3 linked regions of the Canis lupus familiaris genome follow. The protein of the gene in region 1 purifies or fractionates together with the protein of each later gene. This does not show direct contact. Links are inferred from orthologs where the notes say so. Each region holds a gene or a part of one and is shown in the gene's direction. Other genes may lie near its edges.

Evidence for each region.
Region 2: the proteins of RNA-binding E3 ubiquitin-protein ligase MEX3C (region 1) and AP2B1 purify together in Homo sapiens (affinity purification with mass spectrometry; 4 studies listed by BioGRID and IntAct, with this or other methods). This does not show direct contact. The link is inferred for Canis lupus familiaris from reciprocal best matches to the Homo sapiens genes MEX3C and AP2B1.
Region 3: the proteins of RNA-binding E3 ubiquitin-protein ligase MEX3C (region 1) and MYCBP2 purify together in Homo sapiens (affinity purification with mass spectrometry; 3 studies listed by BioGRID and IntAct, with this or other methods). This does not show direct contact. The link is inferred for Canis lupus familiaris from reciprocal best matches to the Homo sapiens genes MEX3C and MYCBP2.

What each region holds. Positions count from the first base shown.
Region 1 is NC_049222.1:23,929,100-23,933,447, forward strand, and holds the start of RNA-binding E3 ubiquitin-protein ligase MEX3C, read left to right. Parts: upstream 1-1,526; 5' UTR 1,527-1,560; coding exon 1,561-1,723; intron 1,724-2,551; exon of another isoform or gene 2,552-2,570; intron 2,571-4,348. UniProt on the Homo sapiens protein: E3 ubiquitin ligase responsible for the post-transcriptional regulation of common HLA-A allotypes. Binds to the 3' UTR of HLA-A2 mRNA, and regulates its levels by promoting mRNA decay.
Region 2 is NC_049230.1:38,021,425-38,025,003, reverse strand, and holds part of AP2B1 (AP-2 complex subunit beta), read left to right. Parts: intron 1-483; coding exon 484-729; intron 730-3,579. UniProt on the Homo sapiens protein: Component of the adaptor protein complex 2 (AP-2). Adaptor protein complexes function in protein transport via transport vesicles in different membrane traffic pathways.
Region 3 is NC_049243.1:30,958,164-30,962,349, reverse strand, and holds the start of MYCBP2 (E3 ubiquitin-protein ligase MYCBP2), read left to right. Parts: upstream 1-1,329; 5' UTR 1,330-1,620; coding exon 1,621-1,922; intron 1,923-4,186. UniProt on the Homo sapiens protein: Atypical E3 ubiquitin-protein ligase which specifically mediates ubiquitination of threonine and serine residues on target proteins, instead of ubiquitinating lysine residues.

The sequences.
Region 1 (4,348 bases):
CCCCCGGCCCGAGACGTCGGGAAGCAGCAGGTCTGGCTCCTAAGGGGCCGCGGAACAATGCACCTGCAGAGGAGACCCCGCGTGGGGTGGCCTGGGCCACACTGGGGAAGAGCGCGTCGCAGGAGGAAACGGCTTAACTTTCTTGAAAAGCCCCAAAGAAGTCGGGTGGAGCTCGAGGGCCCCGCGGCACCTGGGCGGGGCTGGAGGCCGGGTCGGCGGGCGGGGGAGGGCCCGGCCCCGCGGGAGCAGCGCCCCGGGCCGCCCAGGAGGACCCCGCCCCTCGCTCCTCCGAGGACTGTCCCCGGGCCCCGGCCCCCGAACGACGGGACCGCGCCCTCGGCGCCCGCGCTGCACCCCGAGGCTGCCCGCACCGAGGCCGAGCCGGACCCGCGGGGAGGCGGGGACGCCCAGGTGCACGCCGCCGCCGCCGCCGCTCGCGCGTGCGCAGACGCGCTCTCCGCGCAGCCCGGCCTTCAGCGGCTACCGCGCCTTCCTCCGCCCGCTTTTCCCCGCCCCCAGACGCCGCGTCACAAAGACTGACGTGCGGAGCGGACAATCACGGCCCCTGTCGGCGGGAGGGGAGCGGACGGAAGGGGAAGGCAGCGGGCCCGGCCCGGCCCGGCCGCCCAATCAGCGAGCTCCGGGAGCGGCGGGGCGGGGCCCGAGGCGCGGGCGGGGGCGGGGCCGCGGAGGGGGCGGGCTCCGGGGGCGGGCGCAGCCAATCGGAGCGCGCCGGCCCCGCTGGGAGCGCGGCGTGGGGCGTGGGGCGTGGCCGCCGCGGCGCGCGCCGGGGGCTGGCCGAGGCCATGGAACAAAAGAAGCCCTGAGAGGGGAGCCGCGCCGCCGCCGCGTCCCCACCCACCGCCGGGACCTGCCTGGCCCGCGGCTCGGCCGCACCCCGCCGTCTGCAGGCTCCGGGCGGCCCTGGCGCGCCGCGGCCCCGGGGTCCGCCCCGCCGCCCGCCGCCCGCCCCGCCGCCAGCGCGCCCGCCATGGGCCCCGCCGCCCGCCGCGCCTGACCGCCGCCCGCGCGCCGCCATGCCGAGCGGCAGCTCCGCGGCCCTGGCGCCCCTGCCCCCGCCCGCCGCGCCCGAGCCCGCGCCCGCGCCCGCGCCCGAGCCCGCGCCCGCGCCCGAGCCCGAGCCCGCCGGGGCCGCGCCGCTGCTGCGGGGGCGCCTGGCCGCGCTAGGCCTCGACGACCCCGGCCCCGCCGAGCCCGGCAGCGCCGCCCCGGCCGCGGAGGAGCGCGCCCCGCCCCGCAGGCCCGGGGCCCCGGAGGCCGCGCTGGACCGGGACGCGGACGGGGCCGGGGACGCGGACGGGGCCGGGCAGCGGGGGCCGGGGCCGGGGCCGGGGCGGGCGGGGGCCGGACGCCGACGAGCCCGACGACGCCGACGAGCCCCGGCCGCCGCTGCTGCTGCTGTCGCCGCCCGCCGCCCCGCACTCGCCGCCGCCGCCGCCGCTGCCGGGCGGGCCCCTGGGGCCGGTGCTGCTGCCCGCCGCCGGCTTCGACGCCCGGGACGCGGCGGGGGCGCTGTACGGGGACGCGGCCGCCCCGGCCATGATGGCGGCCGTGCTGTCCCACGCCTACGGGCCCGGCGGCTGCGGCGCGGCGGCCCTCAACGGGGAGCAGGCGGCCCTGCTGCGGAGGAAGAGCGTCAACACCACCGAGTGCGTCCCGGTGCCCAGCTCCGAGCACGTCGCCGAGATCGTCGGGCGCCAGGGTGAGTGCCGCGGGGGCGCGGGCGGCGGTGCTGCGGGGCAGCTCGGGGGCAGCTCGGGTCACCCCCGGGGGCAGCCCGGGTCACCCCCGAGGCAGCCCGGATCACCGTGCGGGGCAGCTCGGGTCACCGTGCGGGGCAGCGCGGGGGCAGCCCGGGTTACCCTGCGGGAGCCCCGCGCATCCCGCCCGGCGGTACCCGGGCCGCGCATCCCGGGCCAGGCGGGGCCGGCGCCCCGGGGGCAGGAGGTGGCGCGGCCCGCCCTGCAGCGGGGGTGGATGCTGCGGCCGCGCAGGTGCGCCCCGGGGCACGCGGCCTCCCGCCCTCCGCGCCCTCCGCGCCCCCGACGCCGGGACAGCGGCCGGCACCGTAACGGAGCCGAGCCTCCGGGCGCGCTCACTCGGCCTCGGCGAATCCTCGGCGCTGCGCGCAGACTCCTCCCACGTGGTCCAGACAAAGGAGCTGTGTCTGGGGCTCCCGGAGCGGCTGTGCGGTGTGCGCGGGGGCAGGCCCTGTGCCCCGCGCCCGACCCCAGGGCCGGGCGGAGAGCAGCCCCCACGGGCAGGTGCGGGGCTCTCGGGGCGAGTGGGGCCGCGACGGCGCTGCCGCGGGGGTGACCTCCTCCGCCCCCCCCCCCCCCCCCCCAGCGGTGTAAGTGCAGGGCGGGCAGCGAGAGGCCTGTGGGCGCGCTGGGGCCGCGCATCGCCGTGCGTTCCGTGCTCCCCTCTGGGATCTTAATACGAAAACCCCGTCTGCACTCTGGGTAAAGGACGCGGACTGCCGAGGACTGCTGCTCCAGGCACCCCGCGAAGCTGGGACCCTTCCACCGACCGTTTATTCCGGTAGTTTGGTAAAGAAGACTCAGATGCCTTGCTTTTTGTTTGTTTTATTTGGGCCGGTTTGGGGAGGGGGGAGGGTGTTTTTGCGATGCCTGAGATCCTACTGATCCAGGAGAGCGCTGTTTCACCGTACGGGGGATGAAACCTACCGCCCCCACCTACAAGTCCAGGATGAGTTGGCCATTCGATTAAGAGCATTAAGGAATTGATAGGTTTCAAGCTTCTATTTTGCCAGGTGTTGAGTTTATGGGAGTTGGAAATGTGAGGTCGATTCACACAAACTTGCTGCCCTTAAGAAACCAAAGTTTAATCCAACTAACGTGCGGTTAATGGCACTCTGTGTAGTAGGTGACAGCCCTACCTGTGAGGACACCGACCCTGCAGGGACTTTAACAAATGGAGACAAAGAATGACCTGGGAACAATGTGAGGATTACTCTCTAGCTCTAATTAGAAAGTGGGGTTTTATTTATTTATTTATTTATTTAGGCGCTTGGAGTCTTCGAAGGGGTGTGGTGGAAAGGGGCTGGGAATGTGTGCGTTCAGGCTTGAGTATGAAAGACCCTTAATGCTACACTAGGAGGGCACTTCCTCGGCACAGGTTGCTTGTGGTGCCAGTTGATGGTAACAAAAGAAAAGAACATTGACTTCAGTTTGCCTGAGGGACAAGATAATGAAATCTTTTGTATATTTAGTTTAACACAAACTTTTGTCCTTATCTGTATCGTACTCTTAAAAGCATGAAAAAATGGACCCCATTTACACAAACTGTTGTCTTTTTATACAAATGCATTATTTAAACTGAATTCATTCTGAGTTTTTATTTTGTACAAGCTATTAAAATAATATTTTGTAATCTATTTAATAGCAAATGAGATAAAGTCTTTAGTTTTTCTGTGCTTATTGGGCTGTACTTACTGGTTAATAAGGAAATGTGGTTCTATTTATGTCTTAGGACATGTAGACAAATTGCTGACTACTCCTCTTACACTTAATGTTTCCTAGAGTTGACAGTACTGTTAAAAGCATGTCATCATCTTCTACCTTCTCTTAAGACCAGAAAGTCTTAACACCCCTTTTCCTACCTCTAGTGGGATCATTGACCCCTTTGCTACCTCTACCCCTCAGCAGCAAGCACCATAATAAAATCTGTAAAGGGCTTTCCCACTCCTATGGAGAACAAGGCAACTCACCACGTTTGCACCCTTTTGTTTTTTGTTTTTAAAGATTTTATATATTTATTTGAGGGAGAGAGCGCCTGCACAAGTGGGGAGGGGCAAAGGGGAAGGAGGAAGAAATCGGGAGCGGACTGCACACTGGGCGTGGAGCCCAATGTGGGGCTCAGTCCCTCGACCACAAGATCGTGACCTGAGCTGAAACCAAGAATCTGATGTGTAACTGACTGAGCCACCCAGGCACCCCTGCATTCTTCTAAAGTGTAATGGTTTGTCTTTTCTCTAAGTGAATAAACAAAGCAAATCATTCAATTTACTTGTCTGCTTTGGGTGAACTAAATGTTCATTCTAAACAATTACCCGTTCTTGCCATTTTATTCATTACCTGAAGTCATAATTTTCTGTTTGCCATCTCTTAATTGGCTTTGGAAATAATTATGACACAGATGGAGACATTTCTGACTTCAGCTCTGAAGCAAAGGGTAGGACAAATGGAATTCTGAGTCATATAGGCTAGAACTCATGTAGATGGCCTCTGGTTCCAGTGTCTTTCAAAAAAAAACAAACCACTTCTTTTGATAGTGTTGAAAGTTGGCAGTGTTGACCTCATACTTG
Region 2 (3,579 bases), on another chromosome or scaffold:
AGAAAGTGAATGCATGTGCAGGGTTGGGGATATTTGCAGACTGACTCGGGAGTGGTACACGTTTTTCCAATTCCTCATTTTTTTCCTGTTGTTAAGGCACATACAGTAACAGCCATGGTGATGGTAATACCAGTTGACTTCTGCCTCACCCTGGAATGAATACTACTGGGCATTTCTTCATTGTGTTTGTAAAATAGTTAAATGAATTCCTAACCTAAGCTCTTAAATAGGCAATTAAGATTTGTACTTAGGAAACAATAGTATGGGGGATTAGTGTCTGATACAGAGTGTAACTGGAAGCTTACATAAAGGAAATGTTCTTCTGAGGCTTGTATAAACTAGACTGTTTACTTTTTAGTCACCATGTATACCTGTAGTTGTCAATGATTTTTTTCTTTTTTTCTTCTTCCTCTTCCTCTTTTTCTTTTTTCTCTCCTCTCTCTCTCTCTTTCTCTTTCTTTCTCTCTTTCTCTTTCTTTTTAGGATTGTGAAGATCCCAATCCTCTAATTCGGGCCTTGGCAGTCAGGACCATGGGGTGCATCCGGGTGGACAAGATTACAGAATATCTCTGTGAGCCTCTACGCAAGTGCTTGAAGGATGAAGATCCCTATGTTCGGAAAACAGCAGCAGTTTGTGTGGCAAAACTCCATGATATCAATGCCCAAATGGTGGAAGATCAGGGATTTCTGGATTCTCTGCGGGATCTCATAGCAGATTCAAATCCAATGGTAATAAGCTTCTGCTTTTATAGAGAGCAGTACTTAAAATGCATCCCTTTAAAAAGAATGTTTATTTTATTTTTTTTAAGATTATTTATTTATTTATTCATGAGAGACACAGAGAGAGACAGAGGCAGAGACACAGGCAAGAGAGAGAAGCAGACTCCATGCAGGAAGCCCAATATGGGACTCCATCCTGGGTCTCCAAGATCACGCCCTGGGCCGAAGATAGCGCTAAACCTCTGAGCCACCGAGGCTTTCCTAAAAAGCATGTTTATTTTTATTTTAAAAATTTTTAAAGATTTATTTATTTATTTATTCATGATAGACAGAGAGGCAGAGACACAGGCAGAGGGGGAAGCAGGCTCCATGCCGGGAGCCCGACGCAAGACTCGATCCTGGGACTCCAGGATCATGCCCTGGGCCAAAGGCAGGCACCAAACCGCTGAGCCACCCAGGGATCCCCTAAAAAGCATATTTAAAACAAATCTTGTCTCTGGGATATTGAAACAGATTAGCTATGAGAAACATGAATTCTGTGTGTCCCTCAGATTATGTCTCACACATTAGTTGTTTTCTCAAGTGAAAACCAAGTGCTACTAAAATACAGGGGTCTTAAAGCAAACCTTTGTATCATACCTACCCCTGTGTTTGCTCAGAAACCTTGGCTCTTTAATAATTTTTTGAGTTTTACCTTAAATTTATATATATCTATATATAGATGTATATATATATATATATATTTTTTTTTATTCATTCATGAGAGACACACAGAGAGAGGCAGAAACATCGGCAGAGGAGAAACAGACTCCCTGCAGGGAGCCTGATGCAGAACTGTATCCTAGGACCCCAGGATCACATCCTGAACCGAAGGCAGATGCTCAACCGCTGACCCACACAGACGTCCCTATATCAGTTTTTTTAAAGATTATTTCTTCAGACGTTTGTGGTCTTTTCTGGTGTGGGAGTAGAAACAAAGTTTTATTTATTGCCTAATTATTGTAATGCATTCTTATACAGGAAAATTCTAAGACAAAATTCTTTTTGACAATTAATATTCTAAGTGTTTGGCAGCTAGAACATAACACTTTAAAGTTTGAGGACCTTTTATTTCTCTTACTAATATTTTTAACTTTGTCCATATAATGAAGGGGAGAAAGTCCCAAGTGGTATGTTGACTCTGCTAGTAACTGGAGCTCATTTGAATGGAGTGATTGATGACTAGGTGCCATTATTGAGAAGATGGAGGAATAAGGCCTCCCCTTTTTGCCTAATGCACTATTTACTTGGAGGTGAATAACTTTGAGTTAATCACTGGATAACCTCTGAATGCTTTCTTTGTTGTTGAACTTTTTGAAATAGAGTTGGAATTTGCCTTGAAATAGACATTGTCTCTTACTTGCAAATCATGTGCTCAGATCTCTGCTTTAATATTTCATCTGGTTCATCTTATTCTTTGAATAGCCTTGGCTTTTATTATCTTTCAAGTTTAGCATCAAGGTCAAGGGATGAAGAAAACCACGTTTTGTTTTGTTTTGTTTTAAGGTACTGTAGTACCTATCATTAGGAATCTTTTAGCCATGGGATGCCTGGGTGGCTCAGCGGTTGAGCACCTGCCTTTGGCCCAGGGTGTGATCCTGGAGTCCGGGGATGGAGTCCTGCATCGGGCTCCCTGCATGAAGCCTGCTTCTCTTTCTGCCTGTGTCTCTGCCTCTCTTTCCCTCTGTGTCTCTCATGAATAAATAAATAAAAATCTTAAAAAAAAAAAATCTTGTAGCCACCTTCCAGGCACAGAAGCTGGTGCAGGTATATATGTGCTTAAACCATGACTTCTGATAGGTATCACCACCAGCATTAGAAGATTCAACCTTTCTTTTTTTCCCTCGAGTAAGACCATGTGGCACTTTTTTTTTTTTTTTTTAATTCCATAAGGAAAGATACAAGGCATTAGTATCTATTTTATAGAATGTTTAGCTGGTCCCAAGTTGTGTTTTGGTGTTGCTTTTGAGTCACTCTTACCCTGAGCCACTGTCTTTGAAATTTTCTACTTGAGGACAAATGAGAAGATAATAAGTGTTTGGGCTCCATGCTCCAGGTTTCAGGCTTCCAAATAAACAGGATATCATGCAATCCATGGAAACTTGTTAAATACCCAGTGGGGCTAACAATGTGCAGTGGAGTGAGGTGAAAATGAATTATAACTCATATAGGTATTTCCAGTTTAGGGAGAAAAAGGCATCTTTGCAATAATGTAAATTTCTTGAAATAGAACCTGTAAAATTAGATGGTCAGGGATAGGGGCTAACTGATGGTTTAATAAAGAATTTTTGTTCGTTTGGTACCCAAGCGCTTAGATTTTTGTCCAGTTGAGAGGATGGAAGGATTCTGGAACAAGCCTAATTTGACCTATTTTAAGTTTTTATTGTGGAGGAAGGACTGGTTTTTGTCCAGCCCACCATATTCTCAAGTAATATATGTGTTTATACATATGTTTACTTTTTATTATTGGAATTTTCAAACGTATTCAAACTTAGAGTGACTAAATGAAAACAATAGATAAATAAAATGAGCCCATTTATCATCATCTGTTGTCCCCCGTTTCATACTTACACATATGTGATTTAAACAGGCAACACATCAATGGGTCTCTTTGAATGTAATAAAACACTATAATAAACTATAATACTCTTAAAATTTCTTAACCTGTTTTTACAAATCAGGAGGTGATTTGGAGAGATTTTCACAATTATCTTTGAGAAAGCTTTAGAGAAAATTTAAGATTACTTGGTAGATTTTGAGAAACTTTCAGGAATGACTTATTTTACTGTCTTTATTGTTGATTTTTCTAGAGCACATATC
Region 3 (4,186 bases), on another chromosome or scaffold:
GCCCTCCCCCTCCCCCCATTGAATACAAGCAAGCGCATATGGGTTCTCTTGTGCTCGCTCTCAAATAAATAAATAAATAAATCTTTTTATTTTATTCATGATTTTATCTTACTTATTTTTTTTAGATTTTATTTATTCATGAGAGACACAGACTCAGGCCAAGGGAGAAGCAGGCTCCACGCTGGGAGCCCAAGGTGGGATTCGATCCCACCCTGGGCTGAAGGTGGCACTAAACCGCTGAGCCACTGGGGCTGCCTAATAAATCTTTTTAAAGAAAGTTAGTAAGTAGATAGAGAAAATACTACTGGGATGACAGGACGAGGAAACGATTTTTTTCAGGAGTATAAATTAGGCAAACTCTTCAAATTGAGAGTCAAGTAGAAAAACACTTAGGAATCAGGGTTTCTTGGCACATGCATTTCTAGAGCACCTACTTCTAAGGGGTTAGTAGAATGGCTTGGCACAAGGGACTCAGCATATGTTACATTTTAATAGATAAAAGGATAAGATCTTTGGTAGATAATGACATTTTCAGAAGTTGCACAGAGTCACAATTAACAGCGTCAGGTCATTTTCAAGAATTATCTCTAGTAATGTAAGTCTGGGCAGAAAAAGATAAGCCATTAAGTGGCCGCTGTCAAGAGGTAAGAGTGCACTCTAAGGGGTCAAGGTAATATGTAAGGAAAGTACTACTGCGTTAAGGTTTAGCTCTGATGTCAATGTTGAGAATAAGAATTTAGGAATGTGAATGATCTGTGAATTCTACTGTCTTATCTGTGAATTCTACTTTCAGAATGCACTAGCTTACTACCTGTTTTTCGAGGTAAAAACCATTTTAATCCTAATGATAAAAAATCCAAAATAAAATCACCAGAGAGATACTAATTTGGCTGGCCTTCTCTGCCTTTGATTCTAAAGTAACCAGCGCTGTTCCCAGTGCATCTTCACGCTGGCAGCACACATTTTGAGAAAAAGTAGCTGAAAAATGCATAACACTCATTTTCTGGCGGGGGGCCGGGGGCGGGGGGGGGGGGGACGACACACATTCCCTCTCAAAGGTCCAAGTTCTCTCACCTGGAGGGGAACCCCATTACCTGAAGCCAAGAGCCTGTAGCTGAGTCCTCTCAGCACTTTCCTTACTCTTCCTCAGGCTGCCAGTAAAACCCGGAGAAGCGGATTTCTTTCGGACTCGGCACAACTCAAACACCCCACACCCAAAGGCCTGAGGCGGAGGGAGTGGTGGCGAGGGGGGGAGGGGAGGGAGACGGGTTGGGGTTACTGAGCATGTGCGAGGAGTGGCGCATGCCCAGTGCGGCCGGCAGCTTCCCATTGCGGGTAGCCCCGGCGGTGGCGGCGGCGGCAGCGGCGGCAGCGGCGGCACCGCCTCCTCCTCACACTCCCGAGGTGGCGGGGTTAGATGAGCGGCCCCAGTAGCGGCGAGGGCGGCGCAGGGGGGAGAAGGAGAAGACGGAGGAGAAGGAGGAGGACGCTGTCTTTGTAGTCCCCTGCCGCGGGAGCGAGAGGCCGCCGCCGGAGCCGTCGTCGTCGGCAAAGGGCTGTGTGTGCGCGCGCGTGTCTGCTTGCCCGGCCCGCAGGGACGAGGCGGCGGCGGCGGCGAGGATGATGATGTGCTCGGCGACTGCCTCCCCCGCCGCCGCCTCCTCGGGGCCCGGCGGGGACGGCTTCTTCCCAGCCGTCACCTTCTCTTCCTCCCCGGCGCCGGGGGCGCTGTTCATGCCGGTTGCCGAGGGTTCCGTGGCTGCCGCGGGGCTGGGGCTGGGGCTGCCGGCCGCGGACTCCCGGGGTCACTACCAGCTGCTGCTGTCAGGCCGGGCCCTGGCCGACCGCTACCGGAGGATTTACACCGCTGCGCTCAGTGACAGGGACCAGGGGGGCAGCGGCGCCGGACACCCAGCCTCCAGGTGCGTCTCCGGTGGCCTTCTCGAGCCACACGCCGCATGTGTGTGCGTGCACGCGCGTGTATGCATGTAGAAGAGCTTGCATGTGTGCCTGCGTACCTGTTTACCGAGCGCTTGGCGCTTGGGTGCTGGAAGCACTTAACTGAGAGAGGAGGGTGCGGTGGCAACAATTTCTGCCCAGTGCGTGTGACTGTCTTTGTAGGGGGTCAGCGAGAGTGGGAGGGAGGTAAGCATGTGATGTTAGAAAAGGTGATGGTGCCGGTCGGTTATGACACGTGTGTGTGTGTGTGTGTGTGTGTGTGTGTGTATTGTTGAGGAAGGAGGAGGGAATTGGTAGAGGGCGAGAAGGCATTGCACGGAGAGAATTTCCAAGAGCGGTGAGGGAAGTGGCGTTTCCAGTATCTCTGCCGCAATGGTATTTGCACGTATCTTATCCCTCGCCCTCTTCCCCCTCCCCCCCCCCCCCCCCCCGCCAAGATATTCCATCCTCCACTTTCCACCTCCCTTAAAAAAAAAAAAATCTGCCTTTCACTAAGGGGAGCAATGGTATAGGTTAAGGGTAGTGTCACATATATATATATACATATATATATATATATATACATGTATATATATATAGTTTTAGATAATCATGCTGTTGGATAAAGCATGGAGTTTTAAAGAGATTTATGCAAAGGAGATGGAGATGGAGATTTATGTGGATGTGAAAGGTGCCTGATGGAGATTTTTAGAGCTGTACTTTGATATCTGGACCTTTTGGTATTCTGGAGATGTGATTGCAGCTGCACTTGTGTTCTGACGTCCTATCAGCCATTTCCCTTTATCTTCTGTTCACTTATAGGCTTTAGGGTATTGGGGGCCTAGGGGTTTTGTGGGGAAAGGGGGAAAGCTATAGAACTTCGAAATATGACTGCTTATACAGTGTTTAGCTGCCACCAACTAGAAAATTTGAGTAGCTCCTACATCTCTTCCTAGGCTCCCTGCATGTTCATCTTTCTTGATGTAGATTTTAAGTCACTTTCATTTTCTTTTTCTTAAAATGTGGGTGTCTTTTTGCTGAGGGCTGTCCTATTGTTTTCTTTTCCATGTCCTCATATGCCACATACCCTGAAGGATGATGACTGACTTGTTTCACCAGCTTGGCTTTGACAGTGGTAATTGGGAGTTGGCTTCATCTTTTTTTTTTTTTTTCCTCACAGCTTCTTGCAACACATGGGGAAAGCATAGTAGTATTTTGTCAAATAAGCTACAGAGCTTACTGTATTTATTGAATGTGCAGTGTCTTAGGCAATAACAAGATGTCCTTTCATTATGAAAGGGACTAGGCTGTTAAGTCAGGTATTTGTAGTTTACCATTGTGTACTAGGGCTCTTATCTATTGCAGAATTGTGAAGATGGAGCTTTGTTCACATTTTTTCTGGGTAAATCAGTCTTCTCATGTCTGTAATTGTTTACAGGATTGAGCAGTTTATCTTATGGATATAAACGTATGTAACTACCTTTTGCTATCTAAACTGAAAACCACAATGACACAAATGTATTTCTTGATCATATTTTTGAAAACAGCACAAAACCTCAATGGACAGTTTGCTCTGATAGGTATAATTTTGAGCTTTGAGTCTGAATTATGTCACTCTAGGTACATTTTTACAAACCTCTCTCAAAGAATTTATTTTGTATGTTGTTCCAGACTTCTAATTTGTGACTGAAATTCCTATTTTAACTTTCTACTAGTATACTTGTGTAATAATACAATTTTGTGTATCTAGAACCATATTAGCAGTTTTAGACAAAATTAATAGAGATTAATTGCATATATGACATTTATTAGTGATTTTTGATCATTGATCCATTTTTGTACAAACTGTCAATTACAATTAATGGAAGAATTAGTTGAAATATTTCAAAAAGTAGTCATGGAAACCAGGCTTAAGTTGTGTAATATTGCCTTCTAGTGCTTATTCAGAACATTATTGCTTATTTTAGTTCACATTATTTTATCTAAGTGAGCTGCTTAATCCTTTATTGAGGATTTGCATAAGAATTCAATCACATTTTTGTTAAATATGACTGGGCAAGTGGAACTAGGATTTAGGTTGTGAATGAATGGTATAATTATTTGAATAGGGACACTAGAAGATGAAATATTTCAGAGACATAGAATGGAGCAAGAACAGAGTATGAAGCCCTAGTGAGCTTCAAATTTAAAGATGTGAGAGAAAAAAAATAAAGGATGTGAGAGAAAGGAGACAGTGAAGAAAGCTGAA